Linked DNA regions of Arabidopsis thaliana. The protein of the gene in region 2 interacts with the protein of the main gene of each other region in a pairwise test. Each region holds a gene or a part of one and is shown on either strand. Other genes may lie near its edges. The genes, in order: NPC5 and AT1G74910.

Region 1 (4,400 bases), on a different chromosome or scaffold from region 2:
CAAGAAAAACAAGAACACACGTTACGGCAAAGAATATAAACGAGAATATGCGTATGATTCTATATCAACCAAAGAATATGCGAATACACATGGGAAATTAAATAAAGACAACAATTATCGTTTTGATTTAATTTTTTCTATTAACAGTACATATTCCTTCCAAGTGATACTGATACCTTTTCATAAAATAAAATAATACTCGTGGTCGTGTGAAAAAAAGAAACAAGAATTCGTATGATCTTCGATTCAAGGTGGGATATTAATTAATTTTTAGTGTACAATTTGTATTATGCTTGTAATTGTGACAGTCCACCAACCTATTTTTATTGTACCACGATAAATCTTTTTAGATTTCCTAAAACGTACTTGGTCTAAAATAGCGGTGTCCATTTATTACCGATCATTTTGTAGTGACGAAAGAGTAACTTGTACTCGAACAATTTTGTGACGTGCCATACAAGAATAGGAATACAAAGTCGCGCCTAAGTTTTTTTTTTGTTTTTCGAGTCTAGATCGTTTATGTTGGCATGTCCAGTCACAATTTTTATACGACTTATGTCAGCAGTTTTGTTTCTTTTGTTCTTTTTACGCCAGCATTTAGGTTCAATTACTAGAAAACAAATTGAATTCAATAGGGGCCATTTGATAGATCCACACTACTATTGACTCTTCACACAAAAACTACATAAAAAAAAACTAAATGAAAATTTCTTATACAGTCCAGTAATCATGACAAACGAAGCAAATGTTTAACTTATTGAAAAAGACGATCAGATTTTAATTTGACCAAGGAGTAGCATGTGATGGCTCTGATTGTGATGGTGGTGGTTTCACAACATTATGATCATCATCATCATCAACGCAAAAAACGATGTCGTTCTCATCACCTCCCCTTTCTCTTGCCTTTTTAGACTCTTCTACAAACTTATCAAACGCTTTCGTAACGTATTTAGAAGCATCTGAAACGCAAGTTTTTTTGCATAGTTTGTATAGCAATTCTTCGTTTTTGTAGTCTCCTTTTAAACCCGCAGCAACTATTACAAGCTCTTCTTGAAAGTCGCTCAATTCTGCATTTTCTTTTGCCACCGTCCCTCTCATTTTGACCGGATTTGACAATGTTTCTTTTTTTTTTTAAAAAACGAAGTATTTATTCAAAATAATCACAAATTTTGATAGAATTTATTAGAAATGAAAAAATGTAATTACCAGGGCAATCTTGTCTTGGTGAGTTTCTCGTAATAACAGATTCAAAAGTGCCAGCCCACGAATCTCTCTTTGTCAAAAAATCTTTGAGTTTGAAAATTTTCTTGACCGTTGCGGGAATTGACGAATGCTCATATTGTGACATTAGGTACGGCCCATTTGACCCATGAAGAACTACACATTTTACCAAAAATTGTCATTTAATTAACACATTATAGTATAATTAAATTATTGTCTACCACATACTTACCTGTGCCAGGCTCAATCCAAGGGGAGATGAAGAAAGTCGGAACCCTAACGCCGAGCCGGTTAAATTCAAAATTGTACGGTGGAGGTCCCAAGATACCATCCGGATTAGGAACTCCGTCGAGGGGAGTAGGGACATGGTCGTAGAATCCACCGTGTTCGTCATATGTTATAATGAATAAAATCTCATTCCATTGAGGACTCGATCTCAAGGCCTCGTAAACTTCTTTCACGAGCTTTTGGCCTTCGGAGACGTCATGTGATGGATGATCATCGTTAGCGGGATTCAACAATAGATCATACCAACGTTGTTCAACCACAACATAGTTCGGTAGATTCCCTTCTTTACAATCTTTCTTGAATTGTAGTCCGTAGTCGTGGAAACGTGTCAAATACTTGAGTTTTCTCAAATTCCTGAAAAACCAAACACAAAAGAATACTAATAAAGATTAATATCGCAAAGCAGTATATAATACTAAAATCTTTTGCAACTCGTAAAAGATTAAGATACCTATAAAAGAGAGTAGTAGGAAAACATTGGTAATAAATCCCAAAGGTAAAACCAGCTTCATCGAGTGACTCGAATATCGTCTTTTGTGGAAAACCTTCGATCAGTAATTTCCTCTCGTTGTTCGTTGTTCCGTGTGATGTTGCCGAATGTATAAACAATCGGTTTGGCTGTGTTGCACCCGGAACCGACGCAAACCACCTGTCCAATACATGAAATTTGCTATAAACCGGGATTTTGCTAGACAACCAATTTCCAATTCGGTTTTAGTTGGATGAACCGAACCGTTATACAGATGTAATTTATACAGGTCAAACGGTCTCACCTATCACATATAGCGAAATTTTGAACCAATTCCTTGTAAACCGGCAAAGCGTCCGGTTTAAATCCGTTCATAACCGCAGAAGACATCCCTTTCATCTTTCGCTCGGCGTTTTGGGCAAATCCGGACATTGTAGCTGGACCCGGGTTTGGGTCCGGGTGACCCGAATCCCATGGTTTACCGAACACTTGTTCGTAAATATCCCGAATGGAGTGACCTGGATTCGGGTCAACGTACTGAGACTGGTCGCCAAAGACGACGTTGTGGGAATTTAGGTCAGAGGAAAAACCCGGGTTGAATTTCTGGTCCGATTTCATGACTCCGTCAATTTCCCGGTTTAGCTCTTTGAACCAGCCAAGTGTGTGGTCGAAAGAACGATTCTCTTGAACCAAAACGACGATGGTTTTGATCGGATACGATTCTGAGCCTTTTTTCGTCTCGGCCATTCTATTTGTTTTCCAATTGAATTATTGATGAAAGTTTGAGAAGATCGTGGGTTTATAGTGCTTGACAAATTGAAGAGATAGATATTTACAAGTAAAAAGCAAATAAGAAATACGCATCATGCATGCTTATTGTCCTTTGAATTGGTATCACGTCAAGTAAAGTGCCCCATTTAAAGTTAGAAGTAAATCAAAATTATAAGCATCATATGCTTATTAGTTATGGATATTTTTCGTTCTCTCACATTTTGAGTCTATACAAATCTGGACAATTGAAGAATACCTCATCAAATCCCTATAAAATACTTAACATTTTACCCCAAAAATTACTATAAATACATTTTACTGAAAACTATTTCACACATTTTGGACTATGGTACCAATTTTGCTGTGCTTTTCTAAGTAGAAGCAGAAGTAATATTACCTTTATAGTCTAATGGAAATTCACCATATTTCTGCATTGTCTGTATAAGAGAATAAATTGCATAGATGTATTTTTCAGGACACAGTTTAATGAAGCAGCAAAATATGAATTTATGATTTTGGATGACAATGAAAATACCTTTTCGATTCTCAGAGCATAATTGAGGACATCTAATAGCAACGTATATTACCCATCCCATCCCACTCCCACAAACATAGACTAGAAGAACATGGGCCAAAACATTTATGAAGGAAAAGACCTTGGTTAACAACAAGAGATCAATCGGTTGATTATCTATATCCAAAATGCAATAAAAATCAGACAGAACATCCCTCAACTAAAATCTTCTTCATCTTCTTCACAAGACTCTATGATACCTCTCATATACCATTGGACTATAATCTGCAGTAAATGAGGTTGCATATCCCTAACAGCCTTTTCTATGGTCTTTTCTGCGACTTCGACAATGGCTAATTTATCTTTGTGTCGGCAGTAGAAACTCAAAATTCTTCAAACTAGGATCTTCAAGTTCCACGTCAAAAAGGTTCCTAGGAGGTAGGTGGATGTGATAATTTATATACATTACACAACCACTTAGAAGAGCATTCATAACAAATATCTACATAATCAACGTAACGATGTCTCTAATGTTTTCCAACACAACACCATGTTTAAAATTAAGATGCACATAAGATGTACATAATTCTCCTATTCAGCTTTGCTCTCTAACATTTATTAGTCATCTATTCATCGAGCAGAAGAAAGCACAAAAAATGATGTAATTATTTACGAATTATAAATTAGGAAGAAGGAAAAAAGATCTTTCAAGTTAATTTTTGTAAAATTGAAAATTCATTATATTCTCTCAAAATTGAACATTGTTTTTGAGGAAATCTTCTAAGGATTGTGAATTATTCAAAAGGCTTACCGACACAATATTCACATGTAGAAAGAATTCAGTGCTCTAGCCTTGGATATTAGCAAAAAAATGTATATTAAAACTAAACAAACCACACAAAGTTTAAAATATGCATATATGTTTTACGTTAATAATCTTTATCAATGCATATGAAAATTCGGAATATAAACAATAGCCGTCTTTTATTGATCAAGTAAACATCAGCGATCTCAGGCTGATGTGATCGATCATGTCATGAGGCCGGCCCTGGATCCCATGCAATAAAAAAACTTGTTTTAGGCGCATAGATTAATCTCATACTTGACTTATTTCCCTCTCTCGTATCTTGCAATTTT
Region 2 (6,124 bases):
TAAACCCTAATTTGACTACTTATAACACAATGCTCAAAGGTTTTTTCAGAGCTGGGCAGATTAGACATGCTTGGGAATTCTTCTTGGAGATGAAGAAACGGGATTGTGAAATAGATGTTGTCACTTATACTACTGTGGTTCACGGGTTTGGTGTTGCGGGGGAGATAAAGCGGGCGAGGAATGTTTTCGATGAGATGATTAGAGAAGGTGTGCTTCCTTCTGTTGCGACGTACAATGCTATGATTCAAGTTTTGTGTAAGAAAGATAATGTGGAGAATGCGGTTGTGATGTTTGAGGAAATGGTGAGGAGAGGTTATGAGCCGAATGTGACGACTTATAATGTGTTGATAAGAGGGTTGTTTCACGCTGGAGAGTTTAGTCGTGGAGAGGAGTTGATGCAGAGAATGGAGAATGAAGGCTGTGAACCAAACTTCCAGACATATAACATGATGATCCGTTATTATTCGGAATGCAGCGAGGTCGAGAAAGCGTTGGGTTTGTTTGAGAAAATGGGGAGTGGTGATTGCTTGCCAAATCTAGATACTTACAACATACTGATAAGTGGAATGTTTGTGAGAAAAAGATCAGAAGATATGGTGGTCGCTGGTAAACTATTGCTTGAGATGGTTGAGAGAGGGTTTATACCCCGGAAATTTACTTTTAATCGAGTTCTGAACGGGCTTCTTTTGACAGGGAATCAAGCTTTTGCAAAGGAGATCTTGAGATTGCAGAGTAAATCTGGTAGCCGGCTTCTCCGGAAGTTCAGGCTATGAAGTTACTAGTCTGCATGTGATTGGGGATAGACTCTTGCTATGTTTACAACAATCAATACTTCCCCAAAGCATTGCATTGCAGTTAATAGAGACTGGACCAGGAAAGGCTTCATAGGATTTTGCAAGAACAGTTTATTATCAATGCCAAAACTACACAAGTGCTTTATTATTCTGGGCAAAAATTCAGTGCCTTTTACAGTAGCTGTGTTGTGAGTATAGAAAATGGAATTGATACAATGTTGGAAAATTCTTGGTGTAAATAAATGATACATGTGAATTAGTTCCCAAATATTTGCTTATGTGGTTCTCCAGTAGATATTGAATCAGAGGGAGATAGTGTGGCTGCTCCCCACTGGGTTGGTTCCATTTTTCAACTTCCGTTTTTCAGTTACAAAATGATCTCGTCTTGAACACTGACGTTCAGTGTCTTGTTTGGAAGAACAATACTGCTGGTCACCACAACCTCGTCTTCAACTGCAACCGAGTCTCCTGTAACCATTATGTTTGAGGTTAGTTATCTGTCTATAAAGAGATTTTGCTTTCTGTATATAAAGAGAAGGAGCTACAATGGAGGAACAGTTTACCGAGAATTGTAACTCCGAGTTTCGAATTGTAGACTCCCTCAGCCTGTGATCAACAAAGTACAACTTCAGGTTCACGATTGTAAAGGAATCAAACAAAAACATTTCAAGGTCCAAAAAGAATGAGTCAGGCTCTTAAGAGATGAGCAGAAGAGGGAAACATGCCTGGACGCGGGACCATCTCCCGATAGAAGATTTCCACCCAACAATTGCGTTAGTCACCACTGCATTTTCCTGGGCAAAGAGTCACTGAAGGGTCAACCTCGAGAAAATTTAACCGTTTTTCACTTTGTGTCTTGTATAAGTAGACATACCATGATCTCAACATCGTCAAGGATGATGCAGCTCATAAGCCTGACGCCCGGTCCAACACGAGCATTTGCAGAGATTGAGACGTTGGGACCAATCTGTTAATAGATGAAACTTAATGCTTTGTGATAAAAGTGGAATCAGAAGAAATTGCTTCAACGAGGGACAAAACCATATGTAAGTACCTTTGCAGTTGGGTGAACTTTTGCAGAAGGATGTATGTAAACATCACCAATCACAATGGCACTCCTTGTTCCATCACCACTAGCCAACAGTTGGGGAGATGTCAAGCGGAATTGGGAAAGATAGAGTCCTGAACACCTCAACGACATCCTGTGCAAAAGTCAACTCATAAGTCAGAGCCATAAACACTATCCCTGTTTCAGCTGCTGCTAAACATTTTGTATCCTTGCGGCTTCAAAGAAATGAAAACACAAGGCAAGCAATACATACCCAGGAGATTTGATTTGCTCCCAGAAATCCATAGTCTCATAAGTATATAGCCGTTTCTTCCCAGCTAGAGGTGAAAGGATGTCTTGATCCAGTCTTACAAAATCTGTCGGGATCCTATTTTAAAGAAGTTAAAAGATCATTTTAAGAAGATGATTCGAATGGTTTTCAATTATGGACAAGGAGACAATCGACAAACCTTGTTGCCGGTTGAAGAGCTTCGAAGCTGGAAACACGTTTTAGAGTTGCTACAACAAAACAGAGGAAAAAGATGAGAAGTCTTTAAAGATAGAAAGCTAAGACAAGAAAACACAAATTATGTGTAAGATCTTTGTTACTGCTTTACCTCTATCTTTCCTCTGAGTAGAAACATCTCCTATGGCATTAAAAATTTCAGGTGTAAATACATAAACACCACAGTTAATTCGATCACTGACCTGTGTTTCCAAAATAAAACATAAGAATCAAAGCTTGAAGATGCTATAAAGATTGGGTCATCTCAGTAATAAATGTACATACAAAAGTTTCGGGTTTCTCGGTGTAATGAAGCAGCTCATTAGTAACTGGATCTGCAACCAATTCTCCAAATTGGCTGGCTGATTCAGGAGAGACCTAAAAACCAAAACGCAGAAGCAAATTTGATTGACCCGCCAAAAAAACAAAAACCAGACTAATCATATACAATCACAAACCTTGATCACAAGAAGAGTTCCAATTCCACCATATCCCCTGTGAGCCTCTGTTGATCAAAAGTAGCAATAGTTAAGAACGACCTTCAAAACCATAAGATGAGACCTCACAAGGTTTGGATTAATGAAAAAGAATATACCGAGCATTTTGGGCAAGGGGAAACTGCAGCAAACATCACAGTTAAGCAGGAAGATATGAGACTGCAAGAAGTAGATATAGGAACTCAGATGTGAGAAGAAGCATTTAGTCCATAAAACACAAAAGAAGAATGATTCTATATAGTAAGATCCTTGGAGACTAACCGGACTATCTTCCATAATAAGATTTCTAAAGTGATACAGCCCACCAGCTGAACCATGTGGTTTGTCTTCTCGCAGATATCTAATTTGCAGAATCCCAAAAAAAAAAAACAGAGAAGAAAGATCAGAGCTACACGAATGAGCCACTGATACTTGAGCTGAAGCTAACGCAAAAAGAGGAGAGATTCACTAACCTAACAGGAACTTTAAGTTCATTAGAGATGGCTGAAACATAAAGTGCAAATTCCCTTTCCTCATAGAAGCCAACAAGATATATTTGAGCTAAATTTGGAATCTGCAGACAATAAGGGATTGGTATCATCATCTCTCAGTCTCTCCAGTGATCTGAATTGTTGAAATCATGAGTGAAGAATATTACTCTTTTACAAGCTGAAATTGGATGATGCACCATTGGTTGTCCCGCAATAGGAAACAGAGGCTTTGGAATATTCAGCGACAATGGCCGAAATCGAGTGCCTGTGCATCACTCAATAACCAATATTTACACAGAATCAGAACCATAATCATTCGGATACACGAAACTAATAACCAAACAAGAGAGAAACGCATTGGATATCAAAATCTAACGGAATTAGATTTGATCAATCGAGATTTCACAGTCATTTGCTTTTGAGGAGGAATCAGAAAGAAAGAAAGAAAAAAAGCAAACATATTTAGCGGTTACCTTTGGTTGGACCACCGACCATGATCACAGCCACCACTTTCTCCTCCATTGAGCTCCCCATGTTCAAAGCTCAGATCTTTTTAACAGACCCACAAAACTTTGACAGAAATTTCCCAACTTGCAGAAAAATGGGGACAGCAGTATCACAATTCAGACAAAAGGATTTGAGCTTTGAAGGAAGATCTCCTCTGAGAAACTGGAAAAACAAAAAAAGGTGAAGTTTTTGAGAAGATCTAATCGAAACTGTGACAGGTTAGTTGTGGTTATCGAGATCTAAGAAGCTGTATTGTTGCGGTGATGGGGTCCCTCCAAGTCACACTCACCATTCACCACAGTCCTTTAAGGATAAGCGCGAGACCTCTCGTCTTTACCTCTTTTTCAGATTTGGTTGCCAAACATTTTACTATTTAAAAAATGGAAAAAAAATCCACAAATCTTCAGATCTCATAAAATGTTTATTTCAAGCAATTATAGTAAAAAAAAAAGTTATGATTTGGAATTGATTGCCATGTGAGTTTTAACTTTGATGTGACTTGAAGGTGACATAAAATGGTTCATGTTCTTGATACTGCTGCACCAGAGCCTAAAATGGTGCCTCAATACTGGCCTTTATAGAACAACCAATAATTATCAGCAAAGCATCTTTTATTCATTATAAATTCAACAGGTTTTACAAAAGAGTTTCAGGACCGAACTAGACAGACTGATAATAAAAGCACAAAGATTTGAACAGACAGCATTTGGTTTGGTTTCCATTTCCATGACAATGTATTCATTACTTAGTTGGGAGATTTGTACCATCCCCAGGGATCGTTTGAAGTGTAGAGAGTCACTTGCTTCACACTCAAGTAGTTATCAAGTCCCCTGAAGCACGCAAGAAACCAGCCATAACCAAGATTTGTTCAGTACAAGCCATCAAGATATAGTCTTTTAAAAACAAGATTCGAGATAGAAAAAGAAATGTACCATTCTCCAAGTTCTCGTCCAAACCCACTGCGTTTGACACCACCCCATGGGGCTTGGGTAAAGCAAGGCTGCGAGCAGTTAATCCAGACAATCCCAGCTTCAAAGGCCTAACAAAGTAGACACCAATTGTTTGTGTTATTTGATGGTATTGTTATTTCACTTGCTAGGCATTAAAAACAAATCTGAATGGTTCAAGAAACCGGTACTAACCTCGCTTATACGGTCACATCTTTCTGTGTCATTAGATATCACTGCAGCTCCTAGTCCGTAACTGTCATTAATCAATGAATAATTTTCAGCCACATAAGATCTTAAATGATAAATTTGATTTAAACACCAGTGTCAGCGGATGGGATTTGATCAGATTTCACTTTCTGGAGAAACGTTAACTTACTGAGAGTCATTTGCTAGCTCAATTGCCTCGTCCTCACTGGCAAATGTTTTCACGCAAAGAACAGGCCCGAAAACTTCTTCTCTCCATATTTGCATTGAAGTGGTTACATCAGTTATGATGGTTGGTTCAATGAAGAAGCCCTTTTCCAGATGCTGTGAAATATAGATATGATATAAAAGGTCATCATCATAGTCTGGAAGAAACTGCATCAAGGATAGGTAAGGGAGGGAGATGTAATACCTCAGGTCGGGAACCACCATGCAAGATCGTTGCTCCTTCACTCTTGGCCGTTGAGATAAACTTCAATATCTTCTCGTACTGTAATATTTACATTTGTCAGCTCAATCAGATTATATGATCATAGAAGAAAAGCACACCTACCAAGTAAGAACATGATAAGCGTGATGAAATATCATATGCTAGATGTGATTTGATTGATGCTCTAAAAGCTAAACGGTTCAGAATTAGAGGGACAAAAGTTAATCACTATACTACAGAACTCAATTCTCTTTTCCTTTTTAGTCCTGGTTGTTGTATTGCAACCTGATGGGAAATTGACAAATAATATGAAGACAGAAAAAACGATCACTGGGATTTTACCTGTCCTTTGCTAACTACAGGACCAAGCCTGCATCCTTCTTCCATGGGGTCTGAAATTTTAATGTTCTTGCTCCATTTTACAAGCTTCTCTATGAACTCAGATGCGATGCTTTCCTAAGATATAAAATAAAAAAATTTAGACAAGAGAGTCAGCAATTGTATCCCTGTTGGCATATCCACCAGAAGGTTTGATCTGAAATAAATGTCATTGTCATTGACCTTAATGGAAACATCTTCCCGTATGACTTGGAACATTCACTTCTCCAGTAATAAATATTCGCATGTCATATTGGGAAGATCAGGTAAAACCTTAAAGCAAGTAGAAGATTGGGACTTACGTGAACAAGAAGGCGGGAAGTTGCACTGCAGATTTGACC

What was found.
Region 1: the proteins of AT1G74910 (region 2) and NPC5 interact in a two-hybrid assay, tested with the Arabidopsis thaliana proteins (one large-scale study listed by BioGRID).

What each region holds. Positions count from the first base shown.
Region 1 is NC_003074.8:845,573-849,972, forward strand, and holds NPC5 (non-specific phospholipase C5), read right to left. Parts: upstream 2,726-4,400; coding exon 2,283-2,725; intron 2,159-2,282; coding exon 1,961-2,158; intron 1,864-1,960; coding exon 1,454-1,863; intron 1,378-1,453; coding exon 1,207-1,377; intron 1,122-1,206; coding exon 778-1,121; 3' UTR 649-777; downstream 1-648. UniProt on the Arabidopsis thaliana protein: Non-specific phospholipase C (PLC) which assumes minor PLC activity during inorganic phosphate starvation. Can hydrolyze both phosphatidylcholine (PC) and phosphatidylethanolamine (PE).
Region 2 is NC_003070.9:28,134,609-28,140,732, forward strand, and holds AT1G74910 (ADP-glucose pyrophosphorylase family protein), read right to left. Parts: upstream 4,364-6,124; 5' UTR 3,849-4,363; coding exon 3,788-3,848; intron 3,580-3,787; coding exon 3,482-3,579; intron 3,398-3,481; coding exon 3,297-3,397; intron 3,185-3,296; coding exon 3,106-3,184; intron 3,004-3,105; coding exon 2,943-3,003; intron 2,853-2,942; coding exon 2,806-2,852; intron 2,726-2,805; coding exon 2,633-2,725; intron 2,551-2,632; coding exon 2,460-2,550; intron 2,362-2,459; coding exon 2,313-2,361; intron 2,231-2,312; coding exon 2,117-2,230; intron 1,997-2,116; coding exon 1,849-1,996; intron 1,762-1,848; coding exon 1,669-1,761; intron 1,589-1,668; coding exon 1,520-1,588; coding exon of another isoform or gene 1,516-1,519; intron 1,401-1,515; coding exon 1,358-1,400; intron 1,263-1,357; coding exon 1,162-1,262; 3' UTR 774-1,161; downstream 1-773. Other genes in the region: OTP43 (Pentatricopeptide repeat (PPR) superfamily protein), read left to right, coding at 1-606, 694-773; ALDH10A8 (aldehyde dehydrogenase 10A8), read right to left, coding at 4,567-4,651, 4,754-4,860, 4,964-5,024, 5,148-5,299, 5,388-5,465, 5,748-5,861, 6,086-6,124.